Linked DNA regions of Rhinolophus ferrumequinum. The protein of the gene in region 2 purifies or fractionates together with the protein of the main gene of each other region. This does not show direct contact. Links are inferred from orthologs where the notes say so. Each region holds a gene or a part of one and is shown on either strand. Other genes may lie near its edges. The genes, in order: PPP6R2 and ANKRD28.

What was found.
Region 1: the proteins of ANKRD28 (region 2) and PPP6R2 purify together in Homo sapiens (co-immunoprecipitation; 4 studies listed by BioGRID and IntAct, counting the BioPlex papers as one, with this or other methods). This does not show direct contact. The link is inferred for Rhinolophus ferrumequinum from reciprocal best matches to the Homo sapiens genes ANKRD28 and PPP6R2.

Annotation. Positions count from the first base shown.
Region 1 is NC_046293.1:376,337-384,131, reverse strand, and holds the start of PPP6R2 (serine/threonine-protein phosphatase 6 regulatory subunit 2), read left to right. Parts: upstream 1-4,126; 5' UTR 4,127-4,345; intron 4,346-7,795. UniProt on the Homo sapiens protein: Regulatory subunit of protein phosphatase 6 (PP6). May function as a scaffolding PP6 subunit. Involved in the PP6-mediated dephosphorylation of NFKBIE opposing its degradation in response to TNF-alpha.
Region 2 is NC_046300.1:30,957,647-30,966,471, reverse strand, and holds the start of ANKRD28 (serine/threonine-protein phosphatase 6 regulatory ankyrin repeat subunit A), read right to left. Parts: upstream 3,301-8,825; 5' UTR 1,890-3,300; coding exon 1,773-1,889; intron 644-1,772; coding exon 560-643; intron 1-559. UniProt on the Homo sapiens protein: Regulatory subunit of protein phosphatase 6 (PP6) that may be involved in the recognition of phosphoprotein substrates. Involved in the PP6-mediated dephosphorylation of NFKBIE opposing its degradation in response to TNF-alpha.

The DNA.
Region 1 (7,795 bases), on a different chromosome or scaffold from region 2:
TCTTCCTTTCTTCTCCTCCTGGTGTTCCCATGACGTGTATGTCACACTTTTTGCAGTTCTCCCCCAGTCTTTGGATATTCTCTCTGTTTTTTGCAATATTTGTTCGCTTTGCTTTTCAGTTTTCAAGGAGTCTATTGATATACCCCCAGCTCAGAGATTCTTTCCTCAGCCATGTCCAGTCCATGAGCCCATCAGAAATGTTCTCCATTTCCATTTCAGAGTGTTTGATCCCTCACTTCTCTTTTGGTTCTTTCTTAGAATTTCCGTCCCTCTGATGACGTTGCTCATGTGTCCTAGTGTGCCACCTGCTTCGTCCATTAGAGCCCTAGCACAAGAGTCACAGTTGCTTTAAATTATTATGGGATACTTCCAGTACCCCTGCCGTGTCTGGTTCTGATGCTGCTCTGTCTCCACCAACGGCGTTTTTGCCTTGAGTGTGCCTTGTCATTTACTATTGAAAGGCGGACATGTCCTTGGTAACAGGGAGTCCAGTAAACGGGCCTTCGTGACGTGGTGTCAGGTGTGGGGGGCAGTTTTCTGTGGTCTCACGATTCGGGTCAGTCTGTAGTGAGCCTGCGCCCTGCACTGTGCTCCCCGTGTGTGTCTCTGTTTTCTCCTCCGCCCTTAGCTGGACCAATGGATGGAGGGGCTGCAGTTGGGTATTTCCCTTCTGCAGTCAGTGGGCTCTGATGATCCCCAGCTGGCCGGGCCCCGGTTAGTTTCTCCCCAGGGCAGGCCTTGAGAACAGGATGCCTGGTGTGTTTAAAATGGTTGCTTTCCTCCCTCGCTGGAAGCATGAGGGGACCTTTCTCTGATACTGGGAACCTGGTCGAGCTCCTGGAGGTGAATCTCATGATACCGTGAGGCCCCCTTATGACTGGGTCCCTGGAGTTTCTCACTCTGACGTGTTCACTCTGAGCCTCCAGAAATGCATCACTTACAGTTCAGGGGACCCCCGTACAGATTCCCCGGTGGTTTCTGCCCGTGAATCTCTGCTCTGGGAAGCCGTGATGACCTGTGTTCACCTGTTTCTCCAGTTTTGGGAGCAGTGGTTTGCCCTGTGTCCTCCCTTCTCTTACAGATCCAAGACGGGTTGTTGCTTTTTCAGTTTCTTCTGCTTGTCACTTGTTAGGATTGAGGGATGACTTCCAAACTCCTTACATGAGGAACCCTACATTGTAGAACTGAAGTGGTGAAAGCAGACATTCTTGCCTCAGTTCTAATGTTAGAGGAAAAGCCTTTAATCTTTCACCATTAGATTTGTTTTTAGTCGTAGATTTTTCCTAGATACCTTTTATGAAGTTAGGGAACTTCCCATCTATTTCTAGTTTGTTGAGAGTGTTTATGATGCAGAGGGATTGTTGACTTTGGTTCTTCATTAATTCCTGTTGACTTTAGTCAACATCTGAGTCATTTCCTTTCAACTTGAAGTGCTTCCTTTCATATTTCTGGTAAGGCAGATCTGCTAGCAATGGCTTTTCTGTTTTGTTTATCTGGGAATGTCTTTATCTCACCTTCATTTGTTTCACCTTCATTTTTGAAGGATAATATTGCTGGGTATAGTTTTTTTCAATGACAGATTTTATTTTTTTCTTCAGCACTTTATGCCATTTTATTGTCTTATGGCTTCTATTACCCATGACAAGAATTAATTGTATCATTTTTCCCCTTTATGTGATGGGTCATTTTTTCTGTTGCTGCTTTCAGGGTTTTCTTTCTGCCTCTGACACACAGGAATTTGGTTATGGTGTACATAGTATAGGTATGGCTCTCCGTGTGTATGTCCTACTTGGGTTTACAGAGCAGTGGTCTTCTGATGCCCTGGTGTGTGTGTGTCCTTGGCACTGTGGGGGCTTTTTTTTTAATATTTAAAAATATTTTTTATTGGGGAACAGTGTATTTTTCCAGGGCCCATTAGCTCCAAGTCGTTGTTCTTTCAACCTACGTTGTTGTGGAGGGAATAGCTCAGCTCAAAGTCCAGTTGCCGTTTTCAATCTTAGTTGCAGGGGGTGCAGCTCACCATCCCATTCGGCAATTGAACCGGCAACCTTGTTGTTGAGAGCTCACGCTCTAACCAACTGAGCTATCCGGCCGCCCCTGTGGGGGCTTTTGAAGGGAAGAACAGGACAGTTCCTTCTGCTCTGATGGAACTCCAGAGGCAGCACATGTCTTACAGTTATTGATGAATAAATTTGCACTTGATGTTCCTAGTAATAGAATTAATTTTATTTGGTCCTTCTGTGTCAGCTTGGCTTGATTTTAGCTGTTTTATGTCCACTACAAGTCACTTTAGAAAGGAAATCTGTTAAAGAGCCCACATCTTATGACCAGCTACAGGAACAAGGGTTGTAGTAGCGTTGCATGTTACAATGTGTTTATTTGTGTATACATATATATACACATATATATGTACATATATATATATATACACACACATATATATACACCATTTTCTTCTCTCTCCTTTCCATTTTTTTAAATATGTAAGCTGTCACAGGTTAACTTTACTAGTTAGTTTAAAGAGAAGAACATAAGAGACTATTCAGTGGGACAGTGACAGAATTTGAGGAGTAAGTAATGTAGCCAATGAAAGATACAATGGCTGTTGGGAGTGCATATGCTCATTTTGAAACAGTGAGAATTTTTTCACTTGCAGTAAGGATGGACAGACATATCTTGTGTTAGGTGAAAATATGAGTTGTTTTGTTGTTGTATGGAAGTTCAAATATGTTTGAAAGGATGCATACAGATGCTGACTATCCAGAGGGTTGGACTCTGACCATTTTCCACTTACTGACTCCTCTCTGAATCCACTTCTCATTGCCTGTTCGGTGATCATGGAAACCCCCAAGCGTTTCTTTTGCAGTTGGCACGATGTTTAGCTTTGTCAGTAGAGTGCTGGAGGGTCACTGCCAGAGGAAGAGACCTCCTGGTCTGAGGCCCCATTTTGCAGCTCAGCCCACAGCGCCCCTGTCTCTGCAGGGAGGGACCTCTGCTAGCGTTTCTCCTCTCGGTTGCAAATCTGATGCTTTTTTACTCCCGATTCCTTACAGAACCTGCCAGAGATCTGCCGTGCAGGATGCTGGGGAAAGGTGTTCAGGGGAAGACATTCTGCTATCAAGCCGCCGGAGGGGATGCTGGGGAAGCTGCAGGCCACAGGAGCTGGACGCAGGGAAATCAGGTAACTGGAAGGCGGTAGCTCCAGCCGGCAGAGCGAGCCCCAGAACAAACCCTCGCGCGCCCTCTCGTGTCGGAGCTCAGCATCTGCAAGCCCAGGTACGCATTCGCAGAGAGGACGACCAGACGATGCTTTTGCAGCTGAAGAAGGAAGTTGGTAACTGGCGCAGGTTGTAGACATTCCTTAAGTGTCCAATTTCATTTTCCAACATTTTCCCACGTTTCACGCTGACACCTAAAATTATAACTCTTATTTTAGAGATTAGTTGGTTTAATTGAATTATACGATTTCAACAAATGTTAAACGGGTACATGTTTTAATGTGCAAAACACAGTACACCTGTGGGGCACCCTGAAAAAACACTACATGTGGTGGCTTCTGCTCAGGCGTTCCCAGTCCAGTTACTAGGAAACAAGTCCTAGAGGGAATCTCTGCATGACACATGGGGGGCTGACCACGGTTCACTCTTGCTCTGGCCGTGTCCACGCCACGTGCCCAAGGACACCCAGCTGCCCGAGAGGACACCCAGCTGCCCCAGTGGGAGAGGCCTAAAGCCTGGGCGGAAGACCCCCCAGAGAGCAGATGACCCCTGCCCCAGGTATGTGATCCTCCAATGCTTTCAGGCCTCTGGAGGGGTTGCTCTGTTGCTGACGTTGCATTGGAAAACTTATTACCGTAAATGCATTATCCCATAATAAGTTAATTATGCTTGTACAGAAATTTAGGAATACCTTAGAGGGAAAAGGAAAAGGAGAAACCGCCGCCCACCCACCCGGCTCTCAAGCAGCCTGCACCTTCGCATTGCAACCGATCGCGGCCCGGCATCCCAGCGCGTCCAGGTGACCATAAGAGCCCCGCCCCCACGCTCAGCTCCGCCCCCACGCGAGCTCGCGCTCAGCGCAAAGGCCCCGCCCCCAGCGTGCGCGCCCCGCCCCCCGCCGCAGCCGCCATTTTGGAGCGACCTGAGCGCCGCTAGCGCCCCGAGCCGGTTCCGAGCCGCCGGCGGGCCCGCGCCGTGTCGGTGGGCGCCGTGTCCGTAGGCGCCGCGCCTGGCCGGGCCCATGTGCGTGCGGTCCGCACCAGGCCGCTCGGGCTTTGCCTCCGCCAGCGCCGTGGCCTCCACCCAGGCCTCCGAGGAGCCGCCGCGACGCCCGGCCCGCCGGGCAGGTGAGTGCGGCCGCCCTCAGACTCCTCAGAGCCCGCTCCTTTCGGTGCCCCTCCTGTCGGTAGTGTCTACCCGTCAGTGGCCACCCTCGTCAGTGACCAGCCCCCGCCGGTGACCAGCCCGTAGTGTCCACCCGTCAGTGACCACCTCTTGACAGTGACCACCCAGTTACTGACCACCTCCGGTCAGTGACCTCCCGTCAGTGACCTCTCCAGTCACTGACTACCTCCGGTCAGTGACCTCCCGTCAGTGGACCCCCCACCCCCACCCCCGACAGTGACCACCCGTTAGTGACCGCCCCAGTCAGTGACCCCCCCACCTCCCCCACCCCAACCTTCGTCAGTGACCACCTGTCAGTGACTACCCATTAGTGACCTCCTGTCAGTGACCATCTGTTAGTGACCTCCCGTCAGTGACCACCTCCCGTCAGTGACCACCTCCCGTCAGTGACCTCCCGTCAGTGACCACCCCAGTCAGTGATCTCTCCAGTCACTGACCACCTTCGGTCAGTGACCTCCCGTCAGTGACCCCCCACCCCCACCCCCGTCAGTGACCACCCCAGTCAGTGACCCCCCCCACGGCCCCCCAACCCCCATCAGTGACCCCCTCCACCACCCCCACCCCAACCGCCATCAGTGACCACCTGTCAGTGACCTCCCGTCAGTATCCGCCCTCATCAGTGACTACCCATTAGTGACCTCCTGTCAGTGACTGCCTGTTAGTGACCACCCGTCAGTGACCACCTCCCGTCAGTGACCACCTCCCGTCAGTGACCACCCCAGTCAGTGACCACCCGTCAGTGACCTCCCGTCAGTGACCACCCCAGTCAGTGACCACCCCAGTCAGTGACCACCCCAGTCAGTGACCACCCCAGTCAGTGACCTCCCGTCAGTGACCACTCGTCAGTGACCACCCCAGTCAGTGACCACTCGTCAGTGACCACCCCAGTCAGTGACCTCTCGTCAGTGACCTCCCGTCAGTGACCACCTCCCGTCAGTGACCACCCCAGTCAGTGACCACCCCAGTCAGTGACCTCCCGTCAGTGACCACTCGTCAGTGACCACCCCAGTCAGTGACCACTCGTCAGTGACCACCCCAGTCAGTGACCTCTCGTCAGTGACCTCCCGTCAGTGACCACCTCCCGTCAGTGACCACCCCAGTCAGTGACCACCCCAGTCAGTGACCTCCCGTCAGTGACCACTCGTCAGTGACCACCCCAGTCAGTGACCACCCGTCAGTGACCACTCGTCAGTGACCACCCCAGTCAGTGACCATCCCAGTCAGTGACCACCCCAGTCAGTGACCACCCCAGTCAGTGACCACCCCAGTCAGTGACCACCCCAGTCAGTGACCACCCCAGTCAGTGACCACCCCAGTCAGTGACTTCCCGTCAGTGACCACTCGTCAGTGACCACCCCAGTCAGTGACCACCCGTCAGTGACCACTCATCAGTGACCACCCCAGTCAGTGACCACCCCAGTCAGTGACCACCCCAGTCAGTGACCATCCCAGTCAGTGACCACCCCAGTCAGTGACCTCCCTTCAGTGACCACCCCAGTCAGTGACCACCCCAGTCAGTGACCTCCCTTCAGTGACCACCCCAGTCAGTGACCACTCGTCAGTGACCACTCGTCAGTGACCACCCCAGTCAGTGACCACCCCAGTCAGTGACCACCCCAGTCAGTGACCACTCGTCAGTGACCACCCCAGTCAGTGACCACTCGTCAGTGACCACTCGTCAGTGACCACCCCAGTCAGTGACCACCCCAGTCAGTGACCTCCCCAGTCAGTGACCACCCTTCAGTGACCACCCCAGTCAGTGACCACCCCAGTCAGTGACCACCTCCCGTCAGTGACCACCCCAGTCAGTGACCACCCCAGTCAGTGACCTCCCTTCAGTGACCACCCCAGTCAGTGACCACTCGTCAGTGACCACCCCAGTCAGTGACCACTCGTCAGTGACCACCCCAGTCAGTGACCACCCCAGTCAGTGACCACCCGTCAGTGACCTCCCGTCAGTGACCACCCCAGTCAGTGACTACCCGTCAGTGACCACCCCAGTCAGTGACCACCCCTCAGTGACCACCCCAGTCAGTGACCACCCGTCAGTGACCACCCCAGTCAGTGACCACCCCTCAGTGACCACCTCCTCTGTCAGTGACCGTCTGTCAGTGATATCCCATGTGTTCACCCCATTATGTCCACCTTGTCAGTGTCCACTGCATAGTATCCACTCTCATCAGTGTCTGCCCCACTCTCTCTCTGTCCCCCCTCAGTTTCTCCCAAGGCAGTGTCTACCCTCCCCTTGGTGCCCTCCCAGTCAGTGTCCCCCATGTTACCAGCCCTCCAAGTGCCCTCCTAGCCGCTCAGTGTCACGTGTCAGTGCCCCAGCTCCCTCAGTGCCCTTATGGTTATGTTGCCCCTCCCGCATGCTGCCAGTGTGCCCATGTCTGTGCCCCTCAAGGCAGTGTCCACATGTCAGTGTCCCCCGGTCAGGACTCCCCTTACCATCAAGTGCCCCTGTCCGTCCTCCTCAGCCTGTCGCTGTTCACATCCTTGTTCTCACTGCTCCCCCCACCCTCTTCTTAGGGACCCTTCTTATCAGTGCCCTGACCCACTCGTCAGTGCCCCCACTGCCCATCTCCTGCCTGTCTGTGTAGGACACTCCCCTCCCCAGTGCCCACTGCCATCACTCACCGTACCCACTCAGTGACCCCTCTTTCCATCACCATTACGGCTCCAAGTGTCTCACCTCCCCCCATCCTGTCACTTTCCGACCCCTTTACCCCTCCCTGCCCCATTTCTTCTTCCATCCTCATCATCTCATCCTTCACATCTGTCGCCTTCACTCATGCACCTTACTGGCCCCCTTGAATGTCCTCCCCACCTATCAGTGTACCGTTTTCCACACACCCCACCTGCCACTTTGTGTCCTAGAGCCTAACTACCTGCATTGTTCACCCACTTGTTTCTGACCACTCCCAGTTTTCTCCTCAGCCTCTGCCCTGTCACTGCCAGCTCACCCAGCTTGTCACTGTCTGCCTGTCACTGTACCCACCTGTCTTGTCCCTATGGCCTTCTCCAGCCTGTTACTCTTTCACCCCTCCTATCACCTTCCTCCATGGCCTTTTGCTGCTGTGCCCTTTGGCCTCAGTTCCTGGGCCTTCGCTGTTAGCTGTTCACCTCTTCTCCATGTCCCTTCCTTTTTGGTTTCTCTTCCCTTTTGGCATCTCTTAACTCTCATACCAGCTATGCTCTGGAAGGTGAGAAGCAGCCAGCTGTGAGAAGTGTGGGGGACAGAGCCTTCCAGGCTGAGGCATAGCACATGCAAAGGCCCAGAGGTGAACCTCCTGCAGGAACCTAGATAAGACTGATGTATGGCCAGGGAAGGGGAGTCTGGGTTAGAGCGCTGGCCTTCTAACCACGCTGTTCCTTGCAGGCCCTGAGTGCCA
Region 2 (8,825 bases):
AACAGATTGACTCATTCTGTATAATGCTCACCAGGATTATCTGCAGTAGGCAAATCTGATCTCATAATCAAGTTTAGATATGTTATAAACTTAATAGAAATGTCTTTTATTTTGAATTCACAAAAAAGAACCCTCATCTGAAATGCGCACAAGTAACTATCAGTGAGTTAGTTATCTGCAACTTACTTTCAAATGGGATTCAGCAGAAGAAAAAGAAAAAATGTATAAAATATGTGTAAATATGAGAAAGTAAATGTGGCAAAATGTCATCAATGCTATATCTAAGTGGAGAGTATATGGGTATTCAAAGTATTTTTTTCAACTTTTCTGTGAATTTTTTCAAAGTAAAAAGCCGGGGGAAAAAAGGACCCTCACTGGCTCCTTGTTCTCTTGAATATATATCCAGTCCCTTCCTTTTTTGCCTCAAGACCCTTCTAATCTCACTTAAAAAAAAAAACTGTTACAGAATTGTTATGTCTTTTAAACAAAACTCATAACTCTAGGAAAGAGTTTTTAAAAGTAGGCTTAAAGGCTGGTATCAGTGAATTAATTGTGTTACCTGAAAGTTAACATCTTCTTTCTTAAATATTAGTGCTCGAACTTCATCAGGATCTCCATTAAATATAGCTTGCACCAGTGATGGCTAAAATATAAGAGAGTAATAAAAACATTAATCACAGCACATGGATGATTCTAAAGATATTTCCACACAACTTCTAAATCTAAAATTTTCCTTCCCTATAGCAACAAATATTTGTGTTTTTTTGATACTGATCAAAAGTTTCACGAAGTCAAATCAGATGAAAATACAGGATTCCTCCTTGGAAAGGAGGAGGCCTAATTAAAAAAAGTCAGCTCAGTATGACAAAAATTAGGCGGTATAATAAACACAGATTTTTACTATTTTTTTAATGAGTGCAAGCCTTTTGTTTATCTATATGGTAAAAAGAAAGTTTCTGCCGAATACAAGTGTGACATCTCAACATCTACTTGTGGGAAGCAACGTGTCAAATAAGCAGTTCCCAGTCAATGCTGAGGTCCAAGAGAGAAGGCTAAGGCTTCTTTGAGAATTTCTGTTTGGGGCATCAAAATAACTTGCAAAGGTTAACATTACATGTATAAAGATCTAAATCCAAAGAAAGAAAAGCTGGCAATTGATGAAAATCACCACTATTCAAAGACCAAGAAATACTGCATACCTGAATAACATGAAGAGGCAAACACGTGCATGGCTAAATATAGCAACTTCTTAATTAACGACACAGCCTCTCTGATAAGGTATCATATTATACTAGTCAAACAAGAAGCCAATTGACAACAGCACTAAAAATAAGATTAAGAATAAAGTCTGATACTTTTTCCTCGGAAAGTCTTGCACGTAAACACATAAAATTCATTACAGAAAAGGCTGTGCCTTGGCAGTAGTCAACGGTTCCTAAAACGGAGTTCCTCATTCTCATTATTACCTCAGTTTTTAAAACCATAAAATGAAAACAGAAACGTGGTTGCCGTAACTACTGATCTCAGATTATTTTTTTAAGTCTTAAGAGATAGCAAGTAAAGTCTGAAAAGTTGTCTAAATATCTGAAAAAGTAAAAATCAGAGATGTGAATTTTACACACAAGTAATATTGCATATTTATACATCTATATTGCTTTAATTTGGGTTTTTAATGAAACTAGTAGAAATTAACTTATATTTATTCTTAAAAAATAAAATTTGCCCTACTAGTTCAGTAGAATACAGTAAACATATAAACTCTCTTATCTTACCAATACACTTCCAGAAGATGGAGAATGTAGGGATTTATTTTCCTGTGGCAATTTAGAAATGAATTCAGGAGATTCATCTTCTACCTCCTCCAAAACAACAATACACACTCGACTCATTCGCTCTTTTAAAATACTAAATTCCAAGCTCTGTGATAAAAGTCACAGTTGCAAGAGCACAAGTAGTTTTTCCTCCTCTTCTGTACAACACTTAGAATCATTCTCTGAACAGCGCAGCTGGTTTTTTAAAGTTAGTAAGTATGACCGGAAAAACTGAAGTTTAAAATTATGACTACAGAACTTATAACTTCCTAAAAACAACAAAATTCTGTTATTTTCTGTTGGGTTATTGCAATACTTAAATTTCACATCAACATGTCAATAACTACAACTGAGTCCAGTACAAGCTCATTTAAAAATATTTTTCCCCTACCAAAATAGTAATATTGCTCTGTGTCTCACAGAAATTGCATAAAAAGATCATTGTTTTGGGTGACAACACCATACAATGCAGAATGAAATGAGAAACAACTGCTGTGACAGAGATAATTACAGCTATACCCCACTCTTGCCTGCAAGGTCATATAGTTACCGGTAGCTGGCTTGCTTATGATTGTAAATAAAAAATAAAATCTCACTATTCTGTTTCCACTTCTAATTTGTCTTCATTTCTTCAGCTTCACTAGTTTAATGCAGAAAAAAAATATATCTAGAGCTCAGCACAAATTCTTAAAATGCAGCTCAAAGGCTGACAATTCTTTCTGTGTTTGGGAAAGAAAAAAAACAACAGTCTGCATTAATAGCAAAGCTGCAGTACATTTACATGCGATGAGTCAGACCCCGAGAGACAATAGGACTCTTGGTACTAGAATATAGCTTGATTAATCCAGGTATCCCACATAATAGAAGGAACACAGATAGCTTTATTCCTATCAATAGCAGAAGGCAGAACATTCATTCTTTCTCCATCAGGCAGTTGTCTGTGGCTGCTCCAGCAAAAGGGCACAGGCACCAGGCAGAAATGGTGTGAGCGGGGAATCCTAATAGAACAGGCAGGCCGCGAAGGAATTAGAAGGCATTTGAGCTCGAATTACTGCTTCAGGCTTTCCATTTAAAAAGAGAGAAAAAACCCCCCGTAGTTTATCATTCCAGTGTTTCCTTTGATCTCCACATGAATACAGCTTCCATTAAATAGTCTTCATTCAGAGAAAAAAACAGCAGACTGTGCATCTTCTTTGAGCCAACTACTTTATTCAATCATCTGCTTCTGTGCCAATACAGTTTCCTTCCACTGTGAAAACCGCTACAGTTATCCTTTTCAGTAGATTTCAGATGTTTTCCTGTTCCTCAGATGATCTTGCAAAACGCCACTGACTCCTCCAAATGAGTAGGTCCTTAGAAAATATCTATAGAACCTAAGGATCGGCCCCACAGAAGCATTCCAACTGAGGGGCAGTCTGAACAGCAAAGACTGCAGAACCGCAGGATGAAATGCCTAGTAATGCTCACATGTTACACTTACCAGAGATCTGAGCTACTGCTGGGGATGGAACTTCCTCTAGCAGGAGAAAAAAATAGTACATTTGGACTGCCTTCACAATTAGAAGGGTTCATGCCAGTTCTGTGACTAAGCCAGAACAAACTGAAAAATTCTGTAACTGAAAAATGAGTGCGCTTTTAACATTTTCCACTAAAAGCCACAAGGAAATCTGGTGTACTGCCTCTGCTGACTAACACTGGTTTTAGCAAGTAAACAATTCCAAACAACTTAACTGCTTTTGTATGTTAGGATATGGCAAATGTTTAACCCTATAATGATAGCTGCATTAAGAATGTCTGCAGTGAGTTCACATAAGAGAATTAGAGAAAAAGGAGAAATATTTTATGATAATATAAGAACCATGAACCTAAGGTTTTAGTCTTATTTACCAACACCATTTAAAATCTACCAGATGTATGTTATTTTCAAAGATGCAAAGAAGTTTAAACAAAAGAAATTTAAGATTTACTAACAATTTCTAAGTTGAATGTAATCAATCAAGTCATATTTTTTAAAGGAAAAAATAAAAATTTTATAATGTAGATACCTTAACTCTAAAATTTATTCTATGGATTATCTGAATTTTCACTGATTAAATAATTCTACCTTCTCATCTGGAAATGGAATACAGCCTTAAAAATCTATTAAATAACTACATAAAACTATTGTGTAAAGTTCCTGGTACTGAATTATCTATATATCAAAAAGGCACAGGGTAACACAAAGACAGCAAAGAATCTCCCTCCCCTATAAAATTAATATTCCCAAAGTTACAAATCAGTGTCAAAAACTACCACTTTATAGTTGGCTTCCCCCGCTTTCTCTGTTTACTCAACGATGGGGACATTTCCCAAAAGAAAAATTACAAAGAAAATACCATGGTTCCCCTTCGATCTCTGTTCTTTCTTTTATCAACTAGAATTTTTATTAATAAACAAGTTATTTTGAACATTTATGATGTGTTAGGTCGTGTACTTTCTCATTTAACACTCACAATAACCTTACTACATTCCCATATTATAGAGGAAAACACACTCAGAATTAAGTATTTTACCCGAAGTCATGCAAATTAGTAAAGTGCCTAATTTCAAACACATGCTCTTTCTAATCCATTCTGCCTCTCCTGAGTAGAGCATGCAAATACACACACTCAAGATCTCTGCAACCTGTAATTCCGGACTAAAAGTGATCTTAAAAAACAGGTAACCTATAATGATTGTGAAAAGTTTGAGTAACAAAGAAATATACTATTTATTGCAATAATATTCCCAAATAAGCTATTTTTAAAGGAGTATTTCAGGGCTGGTGTTAACTCTCGCATTAAAGCCACTTTACTTATCAAAACATAAAGAGAAAAAACTCCTAGAATGATACGGATAAGAATGCCAGAATTTAAGAATCAAAAACCATTAAATATGAAATCTATAAAAAAAACTTGTGACCCTAATATAATTGTATCAAGATAATAAACTATGCTAACAATTTACATAGTTGTATTTTAAAATATAAAAAATAATTTAAGGCTGAATTAAAGACATAGAAGTATTCTGACATATAAAAAATGTTAACTATCTCCACATGGCTAAATCAAAAATATCACCTTAATATTTGAAATACCTGAAAATGAAACCACTATAGTAACAATATCCTATATTCTATCTCCCCCGCCAAAAAAACCCCGAAATCTCTCTTTATATGGACAATTTTAACTTGTTCCAAAGTATCCAGTGTATACTTAGACTTCACTCAGGTACATCCTGTTTCTTGTTCTAGGTCAAATTCCATACTTAGGTCTTTCCCAACCAGAAAAAAGCTCTTTGAAGGCAGGGACTGTTATATACATATTGTTTCCTTCCACGTTCTTCCATCTGTAAATAATTTCAATAGATGAATTCTATTATGTCATAAGACTCTGGAATAAAGTGGTAAAATTATAAAACACAATGGAGGATTCATACATATATGTAACACAAACACTTTAATTAGAAAACACGGGAGGCATTAAGGTGCAAGCAAATGAATTTTGTACCTCCAGCAGGTGAGCAACTTAAATGTAGCAGTTGACAGGATATAAAACAGTGATATAGGATGACAGCTAAAATTAAGAGCTCAGGAGTTAGCCTAGGTACGTGGAGATCAAATTCTGATTCCATTATACATTAGATGTGTCCTTGGGTAAGCTACTTAAATTCCCTGAGCCTAAATTTCTCCATACTTATAAAATAATAATCTCCTGAGATTTTTATCTACAAGAAATACTGTAATAGCACAGTGATTGGGAATGTAAGCTTTGTAGCTAAACTGTATGTATTGTAATCCAGGTTCCCACAGGTTACTTAATCTCTCTGGGAATCATTTCAACATTATTAAAGGACTTGAACAGAATCTATAGTGCTATATTCACAGTGAAGTTTAAATAAAATGTGTATAGCAGTATTACTGTGGATATTTAGGGTAGTTGAATGATACCCTTAGTGAAACCAGTGAGTAAATAAAGGGCCATGTACAGAGCTCCTGCTGGTGAGGTGATTCAAACTGGGGGGTGGAGACCCCATTCAGTTGCTAACTCCCCACCCTTTTCAGGCTTCTGGAGAGACTGTTAGAAGCTAACACTCCAGTAACCAGACATGAATTTACTACCTATTATTGGGCAGGAGGAGCAGGAAACTTAGGCAAGAAGTAGGAGTACAGGTTTTTTCCATTTTTCTAGATTCACTGTACTTCATAGTCTAAGAGTAGAATGTACTGGCCCATGGTACACTATATAACCAAAGGTAGATGAAAAATACCGATAAATATTTCCATATTTTTTTATTATTTAACACCATACAACACTATTTTATATCTTCTACTAAATAAGATAGGCCCCTAACGTCAAGGAACTCACATCTTAAAGGAAAAGGAGACAGGTAAATAAGTATTTAAGAAGGAGAAACTACTTACGATAAAAAATTATTGATAGATTGCGAAAACAAGTTCAACATTCGTTTTTTTCTTTTTTCTTTTTTCAGTTGAACAACGGCAAGGGAATGTAGTGTTTTCTTGAGGCACTTACTTTTTAGGCCAAATTAGAGTAAGTGTTTTGGTAAGCCAACAATTTCAATCCTGGCAATTTCATAATCCTTCTATCCTTTATGCTAAAATGTATCCTATGAAAAGCTTACTCCTACTCTTCACAGAACCACGTAATGGTAAAGCTCATTTAAACCTTCATTTTATTGATAAAAATTTAACATGCTGAAAGATTATTTTTAGGTTCCTAATTTTGTTACACCAGAATTTCTTTTTTTTTGACACAAATGATTTTTCCTTTCTGCATAGATTCAACCCAAAGCTCAACTTATTTCTTACAAATCTGTGAATCCATATTGATTACCATAGAATAATACATTTTACTCAGGATATATTAAGTGACTATTCTGTGCTAAGCTAGTCTCTGAGTATTAAAAGACAAAAAACTTGTGGTGGAAGATGGTAAAGAGCGCGTTCAAACCATGTTTCAGAATAATTTCTCATAGTTCAAGAATCCTAAACAATCTTCTTGAGCTATACCTCATCTGTCCATGAGACTGTTTCTCAAGTCTTATGAACAAATTTAAAAGAAAATGGGGTGGGATTAAGAAATAGCTGCTTTCTATGATACCGGTCCCACTTCCTTGTGAACACATGGCCACTGTAAAAACATCACTTAACACAGGTGACTCTTGAACAACACAGGTTTCAACTGCGTAGGCCCACTTATACGTGGGCTTTTTTCAATAAATACTGTATATTCTCTTCCTTATGATTTTCATAATAATCTTTTCTTTCTCTAGCTTACTTTATTGTAACAATACAGTATATAATACATATAACACACAAAACATGTGTTGACTGTTTATGTTATCAGTAAGGCTTCCAGTCAACAGGCTATTAGTTTTGGGGGAGTCAAAAGTTATACGCAGATTTTCAACTGTACAGGGGAGAGAGAAGGTTGGTGCCCCACCCCCCTGTTGCTCAAGGGTTAACTGTATATTTAAAAAATGATGAATTCAAATTCTTTAACAGATCAGATTTAATTCTCTGCATGTAATATATTTATAAACTAGGCCATTTAAATATACTAAATCATATTTCCAAAATGGCTGACAAATATTATCTGAAGATCTTAAGTGGTTTAACATACTAACTAGTACGCTGCAATGGTAATAATAAATTGTTAACCCTTCCATTATGATTGTGTAATGCACAAAGTTAACACATATTAGTATTACATATTATTAATCTGATGTGTTCTTTGCAAAGACCTATATTCGGTATCCATTCTTCCCATCTTCCACTCAACTAGAACTTCAGTTTTTAGTAAGTACAGAGCCTCACGGAACAAAGACTACACTTCTCAGCCTCCCTTGTAGCTAGGAGTCACATGACAAAGTTCTCACCAGCATTTTAAGTAGAGGTGTTGTGTGGCTTCCAGAAAACGTCTTAAAAGGACAAATGGCATATCCACCCTGTTTCCTGGAACAGTAGGCTAGAGAGGATCTAAGTCCCTGAAGACTTTGTGGGACAGAACAGCCATAAAAGCCCTGGACTGCCTACGTCCTGACTTTTATGGCAGAGAGAAATAGTTCTGCCTTGTTTAATCAATGGGATTTTAAGTCTCTTTTACTTGGAGCTGAACTTAACTCTTAAATGATAATCTTATTCTTCTTTAATCATCAATGGGCATGTATCCTTCCAGCCCTGTTTTTCCACCATCCATATTCTATCTAGCACAGTATAGCTACTGAAGTTTTCAATAAATAAAATCAATTAACACACTAGCTGCAACAAATTGTAACAGAAACAGTAGCTGATCAGAAAACAGCTTGAAGAACAATCCACTCTATCATCCTGGGTAAGCAAAGGAAAATCAGCAGAGGAAAAGTAAACAAACATCACAAATACTCTCACTAAATTCTCAATTACCATTGGTGGTTACTGTTATCCAATTTATATCTGGGAAGTGGAAGCTCAGTAACATCTAATCAGTCAATGACTCATCCATTTATCTGTATTTATCCATCATCTACTATTGTGCTAGGCTTTCTGCTAGGCAGAGGAAACAAAAATTATGAACAGTCAATCCTCACTCTAATGGAGCTTACACACAAATAAATATATAACTGCAAACTCTGATAAACTGTAGAAGGAAAATAAAATTGGAGGGAAAGAAACTCAAGGAAGGTCCATGTGGCTGGAGCAAAAACCAACTGTCTTTACTGAAAAAAATCTGCATATAAGTGGACCCGTGCAGTTCAAACCCGTATTGCTCAAGGGTCAACTGGATTATACTTGCCACTAAGTCAGTCATTGTAAGAGTGAAGCATATAAATTTATTAATTGTTATCGGTATATAAGGATACCTTCTAACTGTCCATCCTCTAAAAAGAAAAGGCTTTTATAAAGCTATCCATAAACTTCATTGTTGTTACTTTTTCCTCTTTTAATTTATCAAAAGGGTGGTTTCTCAAAGAAACGAATGGTCTACTGGCTAG